Linked DNA regions of Danio rerio. The protein of the gene in region 2 purifies or fractionates together with the protein of the main gene of each other region. This does not show direct contact. Links are inferred from orthologs where the notes say so. Each region holds a gene or a part of one and is shown on either strand. Other genes may lie near its edges.

Region 1 (4,140 bases), on a different chromosome or scaffold from region 2:
CTAAGTATGAACAGCACTTAGCAGTGAAAATGAAAGCGTGCACATCATTTAAATAATCATATCGCATTTTACAGCAATGATTACAATATCTATCCATCCATCCATCCATCTATCCATCCATCAATCCATCCATCCATCCATCCATCTATCTATCTATCTATCTATCTATCTATCTATCTATCTATCTATCTATCTATCTATCTATCTATCTATCTATCTATCCATCCATCCATCCATCCATCCATCTATCCATCTATCTATCTATCTATCTATCTATCTATCTATCTATCTTCTTTTGTGCTCAACAGAACAATTTAAAGGTTTGGAACAATTAAAGGCAGAGTAAATAAGACAATTTTAATTTTGGGGTGAACTATCCCCTTTAATGGTGCAGAAATATTGTACAAATGTAAACAATACATTAATAAATCGTCAAACAAGTCAAATAGTAAGACATTCAGAAGAAAAAAAAAAGATTTGCACTGAAAAATAAACAGGACTTACTCAATTTGAACAATTTTGGTCCCACTTTTTTTTCAACTACTATGTACTTACATGAAAAAATAAATACAATGCACTTAATGTGTTCATGATGTATTGCTGAACACTTCTGGTCCTCCTGAGGTGGAATATGGGTAGGTTTAGGGACTGGATTGGTGGCGTCTTTATGGTTTAAGGTATAAGCAATGATTAACAGTGAAATAACAAACGAACTTACAGATGTATTTACATGCAGGTATTTAACCAAGCATAAGTATCATGTAAAAACACATATTTACACAAGAAGTACATTGTAATGAATTATTAATTTCAGTGCGAGTACATTTTAGTTAAGGTTGCTTAATCTAAAGTGGGACCCACATTTTTACTGGTCTTCATTGTATTAAATTAGTGTAGCTTTGTTTCATTAAATGTTTTCTCAAATGAAACACGTTTCCAGCGAAATTGTCCAAATCACACCGCTGTTTTGAGCTAATGTTCATAGGAAATCACTGCTGACCTGCTTCACTCAGTCAAGTATGTTAGTTTGTTTATTTAATTTTTTAGCAAAAGCACTCTTAAACATTAAACATTAATTAGGTGAAAGTAAATAAAAGTGTTTTTTGCACATACAGGGCTTACAAAATCTGGGGCTATTGTTTTTTCATTCGGGCTACCAAAAAGCCTGGTGGGTTATCTAGGTACCAGACTTTGCAAGCCCTGACATATTACAATCTATGGCTTATAATGAATCTATAAAATAAGGCAATGAGTAATAAGAAATTCAGAAATAAATTGACTTGCATAAAAAATAAACAGAATTTAGTCAGTTTAAACATTTTACTGAGATTAATTACAATGATATGATGCAGCTTTGTTTATTTTCTTGATGTATTCTCAAATTAAACTGGTTTTCAGCAAATCTTGTGCAAATCACAGTTATTTTAAGCTAATATTCATAGAAAAGCACTGCTAATCTACTTTAAGTATGGACGTTTACTTAAAAAAAGTACACCTAATCATTAAACATTAATTAGCTGAAAGTGTAGCCTAGTAAATAAAAGTGGTTTTAGCACATATTACTATCTATATAGCTGCATAATAAATCAATAATAAGGCAATGAGTAATGATGAATTCAGAAAATTAATAAGACTTAAATTGAAAATAAACATGATATAGACAATTAAAAATAATAATGAGCTTCATTGCATTGAAATAGTGCAGCTTTGATTATTTTCTTAATGTATTCTCAAATTAAACTGGATTCCAGAAAATCACACAGCTATATTTAGGCTAATATTCATAGGAAATCACTGCTGATCTACTTTAAGTATGGTAGTTACATTTATTTTTAAAAGTACATTTAAATAATTCAACATTAATTAGCTGAAAGTGTACCCTAGTAAATAAATGCGGTTTTAGGAAATATTACGATCTATATAGCTGCATAATAAATCAATAATAAGGTGGCGAGTAATGATGAATTCAGAAATAAATATACTTGTATTGAAAATAAACAGGTTTTAGTCAATTTAAACATTTTACTGAGCTTTATTGCATTGAAATAGTGCAGCTTTATTTATTTCCTTAATGTTTTCTCAAATTAAACTGGTTTCCAGCTAATACTGTGCTAATTACACAGCTATATTAAAGCTAATATTCATAGGAAAACACTGCTTATTATTTGATAACAGAGGACCATTTAAAGGGATAGTTCACCCAAAAATGAAAATGCTGTCATCATTAGCTCATTCTTCACCTGTTACAAACCTATTAGAGATTCTTTCTCCAGTAAACACAAAAGAAGACAGTTGGGAAAAAGCTGAAAACCTGTAACCATTGACTTCTATAGTATTTTTCTACAATGGAAGTGAATGGGTACAGGTTTTCAGCTTCCTTCAAAATATCTCCTTATGTATTCAACAGAAAACAACAAACTCATAAAAATTTAAAACCATTTGGGGGTGAGCAAATTTAAAATGTTTAGGTGAACTATCCCTTTAAACTCATCTTGGGCCTTAGAAACCTGTTCATTCATTTGTGTACGTACACTTACTATACATTTCGCCACGCATACCTGCACAACCAAACGCATTTCCACCAAATATAGAATTTTAAGGATGTTTCTGAAGCAGAGCTAATTCCAAAAAGTTGCACACAACAATAATTCCCTCACCTGCACCATGATGGCCATCCTCAGCGAGTCCTTAGCAATGTTGTCTTTGCATTTCTTGCATGAGGCGCGTCCGCTTTTTGCATATTCGGCTTTGTACAGCTTGTCGTCCTGTGAGTCGGCCATCTCTGCAGATATTTCTGTTAAAAGGAGAAGTTTGCAGACTAATTCTAGTCAGACAGGCCGACAACTCACGTTACAGCGCAATGAGGAATAGCGCGCAGTCAGTCCGCGTGCAGAAGCACCCGCGCAGAATACCAGCCCAAACCAATCGAGCCCACATTCCTCTAGTAGTGGAGAATATGCGCAGACAAAGCTAATCGAACTCAAAGCTCCTCAACACTGAAGAAAAATCTTTTAAGTAGGCAGGGGCGCAATTGCAAATTTACTTAAAGGTATGCGGGTTCAAGTTGGGGTGGTATAATAAAATTAATAATAATAATAATAATACCTTTTATTTTTAGGCGCCATTTGATTTGATTTTGATTTTATGCGCCTTTAGGCAGTATGATTTTCTTTATCTAATAAAATACAATATTATCATGTAATTTAAACGCAAAATAAACATTCTTAACAAAAAATATTTATTTATTTTGATTAATAAAAACTTTAAGTATTAATAATTTCAAAAATAGTTTTGGCACACCCCCGCTCCCCCCATGTATGGCGCCCCTAAGCCCCGCATATAGTGCACACCCCTTTTTTGCGCCTCTGTAAGTAGGGCAAGAAAAAATCTGCGGACATTTTTTTAACTTTTTCTGCAAAGAATTTTGTTAAAAATCTGCGGATTTATGGAATAATTTTGGGAGTATCAAAACTAAAACCTTCATATATGAATTAAAAAATAATAGCTTTCTAACTTGTATTTAATGTTTACAATGCAAATTCAATTTGATCCACTTTATTTGGTAAACAAAGCAAGTGTCTCATATAATATCTCTACTAAAAGACAGAAAATAATACTTTACAAACTGTACTGTAAATAAATCATACGAATATTTTCACATTAGCCAATAATTATCCTAAAATGAATTTACAAACTGAATAAATATACATTTTAAAACATTTACACAAGTAAATAAACAGAATCAATGATGGTCTAAAATTATGTGGAATTCTGCGTGTGCAGATTCCGCGTTGGCCTAGTTATATGTTTTGTGTCATATGTTTACACAGTGCTCAGCATAATTGTGAATACACCCCATTTAGAAAATGAATATTTTACCCATTTATCAAGAAATATAGGTAATATATTTTGGTGCATTTGAACAAAACAGATGAAACAGATATATTTAATAAAATAATATTTTAGTCACTAAACATCTTTAGAAATAGAAAGAAAAAATATGCTTCAATTATTGCGAAATATTGGGGGAAAATTACAAACTACAAAATTTCACAAAATTTTATACATTTTTTTGTTTCTCTTGGATTTTGCTCTTTGAAAAATTATTTAATATTTTCCCTAACTTATACATTTGGACTA
Region 2 (3,740 bases):
GTTGTGGATTCTAAAAATCTGAATAATAGTATGAGATTCTAGACTGATCATTTGTAATATAATTTTATATTTAAGTTCACTTCAGATTTAAGTTCATATATTTAAGTTCATTTTACATTTAAGTTGTAGTGATGGGCAAAATCTTCAGTGTAAAATGTTTATTTTAGGTTAAAATCATAGGCAACTTTGTTGTATTTAAACGAATCTGGTGGTGTCAAATCTGGTGGTGTGAAATTATAGCGAATTTAATAATCCAATATGTCTCTTTTGCATGCACAAAAATAAAAATCATAATCATCATGCTTAAACACAACCTCTTTTGTTGCATGAAAAATAATGGTAAAATTGTATAAAACAGTCGCATCACAGCATTTCATAAAACATTTACAACAGTGTTTCTCAACCATGTTCCTGGAGGCCCACCGCTATGTTTTGGATGTCTCCATTGCCTGATACACCCATTACAGGTCTTTCAGTCTCTGCTAATGAGCTGATGATCTGAATCAGGTGTGTTTGGTTAAAAATCATGGAAAATGTGCTGGTGGTCCTCCAAGAACATGGTTGAGAAACACTGGTTTAGAAGACAGAAAGTACCTAGTTATTATCAGTTTTAGTTGATGTTGTCAAGGCAAAGGAATAAATTAACAAAGTATTAAACAAAGAAATAAAACCTATATACACATGCAATTATTTAGAAAAACACATAAATACAGAAATTACATAAATATATATATATATATATATATATATATATATATATATATATATATATATATATATATATATATAAACAATAAATGCAAGATCACTAAAGCCAATAATTCTAAATTTAACAAAAAACAGAAACTGCAAAAATAAAAACTACCTCAAGATGTTAATAATATAATATTAACATCATAAATATAATAATATCAATAATATAATACCAATGATAGTAAAATAACTCAAAAGTACCTGATATCAATACGGCGGTGTAAAGACTCCTCCTCCTCCTCCTCTTCTTCTTTTTCTTTCTGCAGCTGACACACACCCTGAAGAATAAAAAAAACATGTTTTATTTCACATTCACTATAATTTATTAATATTTGAAATGCACAAATAAGACGGCCGAGAGACTCACCATGAATTTAGTGTCTCCTTTAGACAGTGTGTCAGTAATGAAGCCGATGGACTCCAGATGATCCACAACGGCATGAAGGAGCTTCGGCTGAATAATGATGTAATATAATAAGAATAATAATGTTATATTAATAATAATATTTGTTTATTTATGCTTTTCTGACATATCAGCTTCACTGGCCATTTTCATGACAACATTACCAATATAAATTCGATATATAGTTTATAATCATAAATTAATCCTAATAAAGGCTGAACGGTATGACCAAATGTTTATCTCATGGTATAAGAAAGTTTATTTCACGGTAATTTACATTTACATTTAGTCATTTAGCAGACGCTTTTATCCAAAGCGACTTACAAATGAGGACAAGGAAGCAATTTACACAACTAAGAGCAACAATGAATAAGTGCTGTAGGCAAGTTTCAGGTCTGTAAAGTCTAAGAAGGGAAGTATTAGTAGTATTAGTTTTTTTTTTTTTTGTACAGTTAGTGTGATATTCAGAGAGGCAATTGCAGATTAGGAAGTGAAGTGGAGACTAAATAGTTGAGTTTTTAGTCGTTTCTTGAAGACAGCGAGTGACTCTGCTGTTCTGATGCAGTTAGGGAGTTCATACCACCAACTGGGCAGATTGAGCGTGAGCGAAAGTGATTTTTTCCCTCTTTGGGATGGAACCACGAGGCGATGTTCATTCACAGAACGCAAGTTTCTGGAGGGCACATAGATCTGCAGAAGTGAGAGCAGATAAGAAGGAGCAAAGCCAGAAGTCACTTTGTAGGCAAACATCAGAGCTTTGAATTTGATGCGAGCAGCAACTGGCAGCCAGTGCAAACGGACTAGCAGTGGAGTGACATGTGTTTGTTTAGGTTCATTGAAGACCACTCGTGCTGCTGCATTCTGGAGCAGTTGAAGAGGCTTGATAGAGGCTGTACGGGTAATGATGTCTTACACAATATAGTTTTTTTTATGAAGGTTGTTATTCCAGAAAATGTACAAAAGTGCTTTTTATAATATATAAGCTTGAAAATTTAAAAAAGGACTTGATCTTATTTGATGTAGTAAATGTAGTAAACAAATTATAACTTTAGTTGGACAACAAATCCCACTGTATGCCACATTTCAGTTTTATGTGGACAGACCTTATTATTATAAACATTTCTCAAGTAACATCTTATCACAGATATCAAATATGTCCCAAGTAACAGGAAAATGAACCTTAAATATGAAAATATAAATGTGTAAACATTTTAAATTAAATATAAAACATTTTAATGATGTAATGATATATGCCGTCATATCGACCAGCCTTAATACAAATAAACAAACATTATACAAAAACATACTAAATAACAACAATACTGACAAAAGGTCATATGAGATCTTTTAGTTTAGTCAACAATTAATAATTGGGACCCTTAAAATATTTTCTGAATAAAAATTTCTCTAATGTAATTAAATAAGCACACATTCTATTTAAATATGTTTTACAGTCATAATATTCTTACACTAGTCAAATTGGGTGGGTGAGTTTAATAATTTAATAATAAGATGTGCAATAATAATAACAGGAAAGATTAATTAAAAGATTAAGCAAAGATTAATTGCATCCAAAATAAAGGTTTGTTTTGACATAATATATGTGTGCGTGTTATGTATATTTATATTTATTATGTATGTGTGATATAAAAAACAAAACTATATAAAACAATTTTCTTACATAGATATTTAAATACAGATATATATATACACAACAGTTCTGTCTGGTTCTCAAATCTGATTGGCTGATAGCCGTGATATATTTAAGTAATATCAGCACCCGTACAGCCCCTTTACCCTTTGTGTATTACTCCGCCCACATACAGCCAGCAAAGAGCAGACACTACAGATCTAAAGGTTAAAAGATGCACACTCGGCTGTTTAACTGTCAGCTTATGATTTGAATCTGGAAGAAAGTAGTTCCTCATACAAAAGGGTTTTTGAGACTCTTAATGTTTGATTTTGTTTTATATACACAATTATGCCGTCAAACTGTTGTATAAACGCAATATCACACGAGTAGCAGTGCAATATGGCTGTATATCGGCACTGGTGGGGGCACTAAGACACGCCTCCCACCAGTGCCGATATACAGCAATATCCCACTGCTACTTGTTTGATATTGCTTTTATATATATATAATCTGTATCAAAAACATATTTATTTTATACCTATTATTTTTTACATTACTATCTATTTCTCAAATATATGCATGCCATAAATACACACAATACACACACCTAAATTATGTCAAAGTTTTATTTTGGACGTGCTTAATTGCAATTAATTTTTGGCCAAACCTAAATAAACGAAGAAAAACTGCATTCTTTATTAATTATTTCCATCTTTAAAAAATATCAGACTTTACCTGTTTCTCAGACTGAGATGTGAAGTCCGGATGGGTCAGCAGTATATCAATATCACCACTCGACTCTGCTCCTGAATATTAACGAAAGCCATTATGGCACATTAGGATGATAAAATGTGATAACTTATATTAAATATCGGGATAAGAGTGAATCAATAACCTCTTCTGTAGCTGCCGCAGATGGTGCCGATGTACTCTGGATCCACTATATCCAGT
Region 3 (3,740 bases), on a different chromosome or scaffold from region 2:
TATATAGTTCCTGTTTCTAAACCTCTTTACTGCTTTTGAACCAACAAACTAGTCTAAATGAGGACATATGTACATCATTTTTCATGTTCGTAATATCGAATCTAATCTATAAATGAGTAACAATGAATCAATTGCTTACTTAACCCAAAAATACATTCTGTTAACTTTGTGGAATTAAAAAAAAATAATAATCATACACGTTTGGAAAGATATACAAGTGCATTTCAAACTAGAATATCGTTGATTTATTTTAGTAATTAAATTTGAAAAGTGAAAGTCAGATACGATTCATTACACACACACACTGATACATTTCAAGTGTTTTGTTTTTTTTAGAGGGTACCTTTTATGCAAAAATGACTTTTATAAGGGTTTAAACACAGATGTTTGGCAACAGTGGGTAAAAATAACCAGCTTCTAGTGGCAAAAATGTATTCATTTTATTTTTTCATAAATTGCACTTCATAAAAACAATCTGTGGAAATACTTTGATTGACAATCTGCTTTTGTACATGTCATCAGAGGGGGAAAGCCCCACCTATTAGTGATGATCTCACCCCCATTAGCATAGGAGGTTAGTCTTGCTTTTGTGTCAGCACACTGGCAGATTCAAAAACATTTTGTAGGCCCACGCTCTTTTAAAAATCTAATTTGAATTTAAAGCGACAGTCACCAAAATGTTCAGAGTTATAAAACATTATTTGTGGGTTGTTTTTTTTGAGCTGAAACAACACATACACACTCTAAGGACATCAGAGACTTATTTTGTATCTTGTAAAAAATGATGTAACAGGTCCCCTTTAAGTTTGATGATGCTTACAGGTAATGCTTAAACTTACTTATACTTGTCTCTTTTATTCCTGTTTATGTAAAGCACTTTGAATTGCCACTGTATATGTAATGTGCTTTATAAATAAACGTACCTTGCCTAATGAAAACCCAAAATTAAATATTTTAAAAAATCTAAATATTACTTAAAACTAACACAATTAACCAAAATTATGAACTACTGAAAAATATGAATATGTTCATGGAATAAGCAGAATATTTGAGTATGTTAGACAATTATGCACGCTTCAGGTGCAAAACACCTCGAGTGTGCATTATTGGCCAATAATTTAACAAATTGAAGCAGATTATTTTGCTTATACTAAGAAAATGTTCATGCTTTCAGTATTATTCTGCTTATTTTTTCATTTTTTTTTCAGTTGCTGTATTTGTGCTTATAGTATAAGGGATGGCAGTTATAATTGATGACAATTAAACTTTTGGGTGAACTATTCCTTAAAGTATATTAAAGATTGATACCAGCATTGGCTGTACTGGAGTCATCAGAGATGCCTCGATGCTGAGGATCTTTCGGGGGCCAGTTCCATTAGAAGCATCCTGCTGGTTACGCAGCACTCTGTCTATCACATCACCGAGATTACGGGAGGCTTTGAAGGCATCATAGGCATTGGGGTCTACAGCATCCAAACTGATGAGAGAAAAGGTTACAAAGAGGGGGACAGAACAAATAGGTCTGTTTACACCAGGTATTAAGTTGCTCATGTCAGAAGTAAATGAGGATGTTGAATTACTGTTTGCACCAGTTTTTCTTTATATATATTAGAGAATAACGTCTATAGGCAGGTTTAAGTGTGAGTTTTATATAATTTTTTAATCTATTAATCCAAACATAAGTTTGCAAAATTTACATATGAACAAAACTATACAAACAACAATTGCATCTGAGGGTTTGTGTTACAATTAAGAGAAATCAGCAAATATTGTGCATTTTTACATTTTTTCACCTTCAAATCAAACTTATGGTGTCATACGGAAAATTTATTTAATTCAATGAAGCATGCTTAAAAGGGGAAATGTAGCACACAGTTAAGTTTACCTTATTTTGTGCATTGGATTCCACTTTAATGAAAATATATTAAACAAACTTGATTAATGTAACCATTTAGCAGAAAACGGCATGTTTTACTATAGATTGTAGACCTAGGACGCAGCCATCTTGGAATTTTGCTATGTCACAGGGTTGGTTCAGTTCCCTCAGCTGAACAGATACAGTGGAAGTTACTGCTATAAAGCCTAATCTAACCCAATGCGTTAAGTTATGGATGTGGAGCTGCTGCAAATACAAGCATCAGATGCGTGTCTAATATTTTAATTACTTATCATTTGATGTGCTTTGCTCCACTCTCTGCATTACGCTGCCTGACTGACTGTCTTGGTTTCAACAATGATTGTAACGGACTGAACACAGAGACTGGACAGCTTAATTTAACCCAATGCATAAAGTTGCAGACGAGCATCACAGAGCTGGTACTAACACAAGCATTTAAGTGTCTTAAGTTGTGTATTTTTCTTTTGATAATACTTTTCGCTTGATGCGCTGTGGTCCACTCTCAAACGCTGCTCCAGTGCTGCCTGACGAGTGGATTTATATTCAGACTAATGCAACAATTAAAATTACACATGACTTCACACTTTACTTAGTCATGTCTTTGTGGATTATGTCAAGACATATTCCCCCTTCAAGGTTATCAACTTTATTTTTTATTAAAGTGGAATCCACTTTACAAAATAAGGTATACTTGACTGAGTGCTTTATTGCTCCTTTAAAGAAGTGGTTCCCGAAGTAGGAACAATGAGATGAAGTCACTTGGTGATTTCCAAAAATCAAATAAATATTAATAAATTATTAAAATTATAATCTTTTGATCTATTAATCCAAATAAACTAAAATATCAAGTTTAATAAACTATTAAAATAACTATATTTCATCCATAACCTACAGAAGATAAAAAAAAAAGTTACAATAAAAATTGTCTCCAAAAATTAAACAAAGAATGAACTTGTGCTGTAAACATTGTGCCAACCAAGTCTCATTAGGTGAGGTTAATATTCAATTAAACAAATGAATAAATGACTATAAAAATGACATAGTTGTGAGACATAGTTGCTGCACTTTTTTGTGTTGTCAATATGCTAATGTTTATAGGCCTATAGGTGTGTGCGAGCTGTTGCATTCAAAATTTGGATGTCTATAACCACCTCTGAAAATAGTGGGGGTCGTGAGTCACTGGCTGTTATTTTGGGGGTTGTGGGTTGAAAAATATGGGAACCCCTGGTTTAACGGTTAAAAAAAAACAAAAAGATTTCAGATGTTAGTATTAGTACGTTAGTTTGAAGGATATCTAATAGCTAGTGTGCTCCAAAACTGTGACAAAATATGCAAATCTTGCAGTTTGTCACTTCTACCTTAAAGGATCAATTATTTTTTTATCATCCTTTTTATCATCCAAAATGATCATACCTCCATTTTACATCAAATCTTCTGACCAATCACATGTTCTATAGTATCTAACATGCCCCGCTTCTTTAAGATGCCTCTTATTTGTTTTTATATTTTATTATTTTAATTAAACCAATAAACCCTAACACAACTGGTTGTTTATTTTTCAGAGGAGGAGCTACTATATGTCCCACTCTGTTTTCATGTTTCAGTTGAGATTAATCCAAACATTGAAAAAAAATGCAAATTGCAAAGCACTTCACAGGACCTTTAACAATTCCTATACTGTTAAAAATGGACTATACACAGAGTAGGTCCTTATTGGCTGTTTAAATGCATCTGTTCAAATAAGTGTTTATTCTATGAAAGCAAAACAGTTGGATGCGTTTCTGACTTTTGGACATGGTAGAAAGTGAATAAGCTTAAAATGTTTCAGACTCTACTTGAACAG

The links.
Region 1: the proteins of polb (region 2) and parp1 purify together in Homo sapiens (affinity purification with mass spectrometry; 4 studies listed by BioGRID and IntAct, counting the BioPlex papers as one, with this or other methods). This does not show direct contact. The link is inferred for Danio rerio from reciprocal best matches to the Homo sapiens genes POLB and PARP1.
Region 3: the proteins of polb (region 2) and lig3 purify together in Homo sapiens (affinity purification with mass spectrometry; 3 studies listed by BioGRID and IntAct, counting the BioPlex papers as one, with this or other methods). This does not show direct contact. The link is inferred for Danio rerio from reciprocal best matches to the Homo sapiens genes POLB and LIG3.

What each region holds. Positions count from the first base shown.
Region 1 is NC_133195.1:46,952,305-46,956,444, reverse strand, and holds the start of parp1 (poly [ADP-ribose] polymerase 1), read right to left. Parts: upstream 2,801-4,140; 5' UTR 2,781-2,800; coding exon 2,658-2,780; intron 1-2,657. UniProt on the Homo sapiens protein: Poly-ADP-ribosyltransferase that mediates poly-ADP-ribosylation of proteins and plays a key role in DNA repair.
Region 2 is NC_133183.1:3,692,973-3,696,712, reverse strand, and holds part of polb (DNA polymerase beta), read right to left. Parts: coding exon 3,685-3,740; intron 3,596-3,684; coding exon 3,525-3,595; intron 1,208-3,524; coding exon 1,121-1,207; intron 1,032-1,120; coding exon 955-1,031; intron 1-954.
Region 3 is NC_133180.1:66,745,183-66,748,922, reverse strand, and holds part of lig3 (DNA ligase 3), read right to left. Parts: intron 1,478-3,740; coding exon 1,309-1,477; intron 1-1,308. UniProt on the Homo sapiens protein: Isoform 3 functions as a heterodimer with DNA-repair protein XRCC1 in the nucleus and can correct defective DNA strand-break repair and sister chromatid exchange following treatment with ionizing radiation and alkylating agents.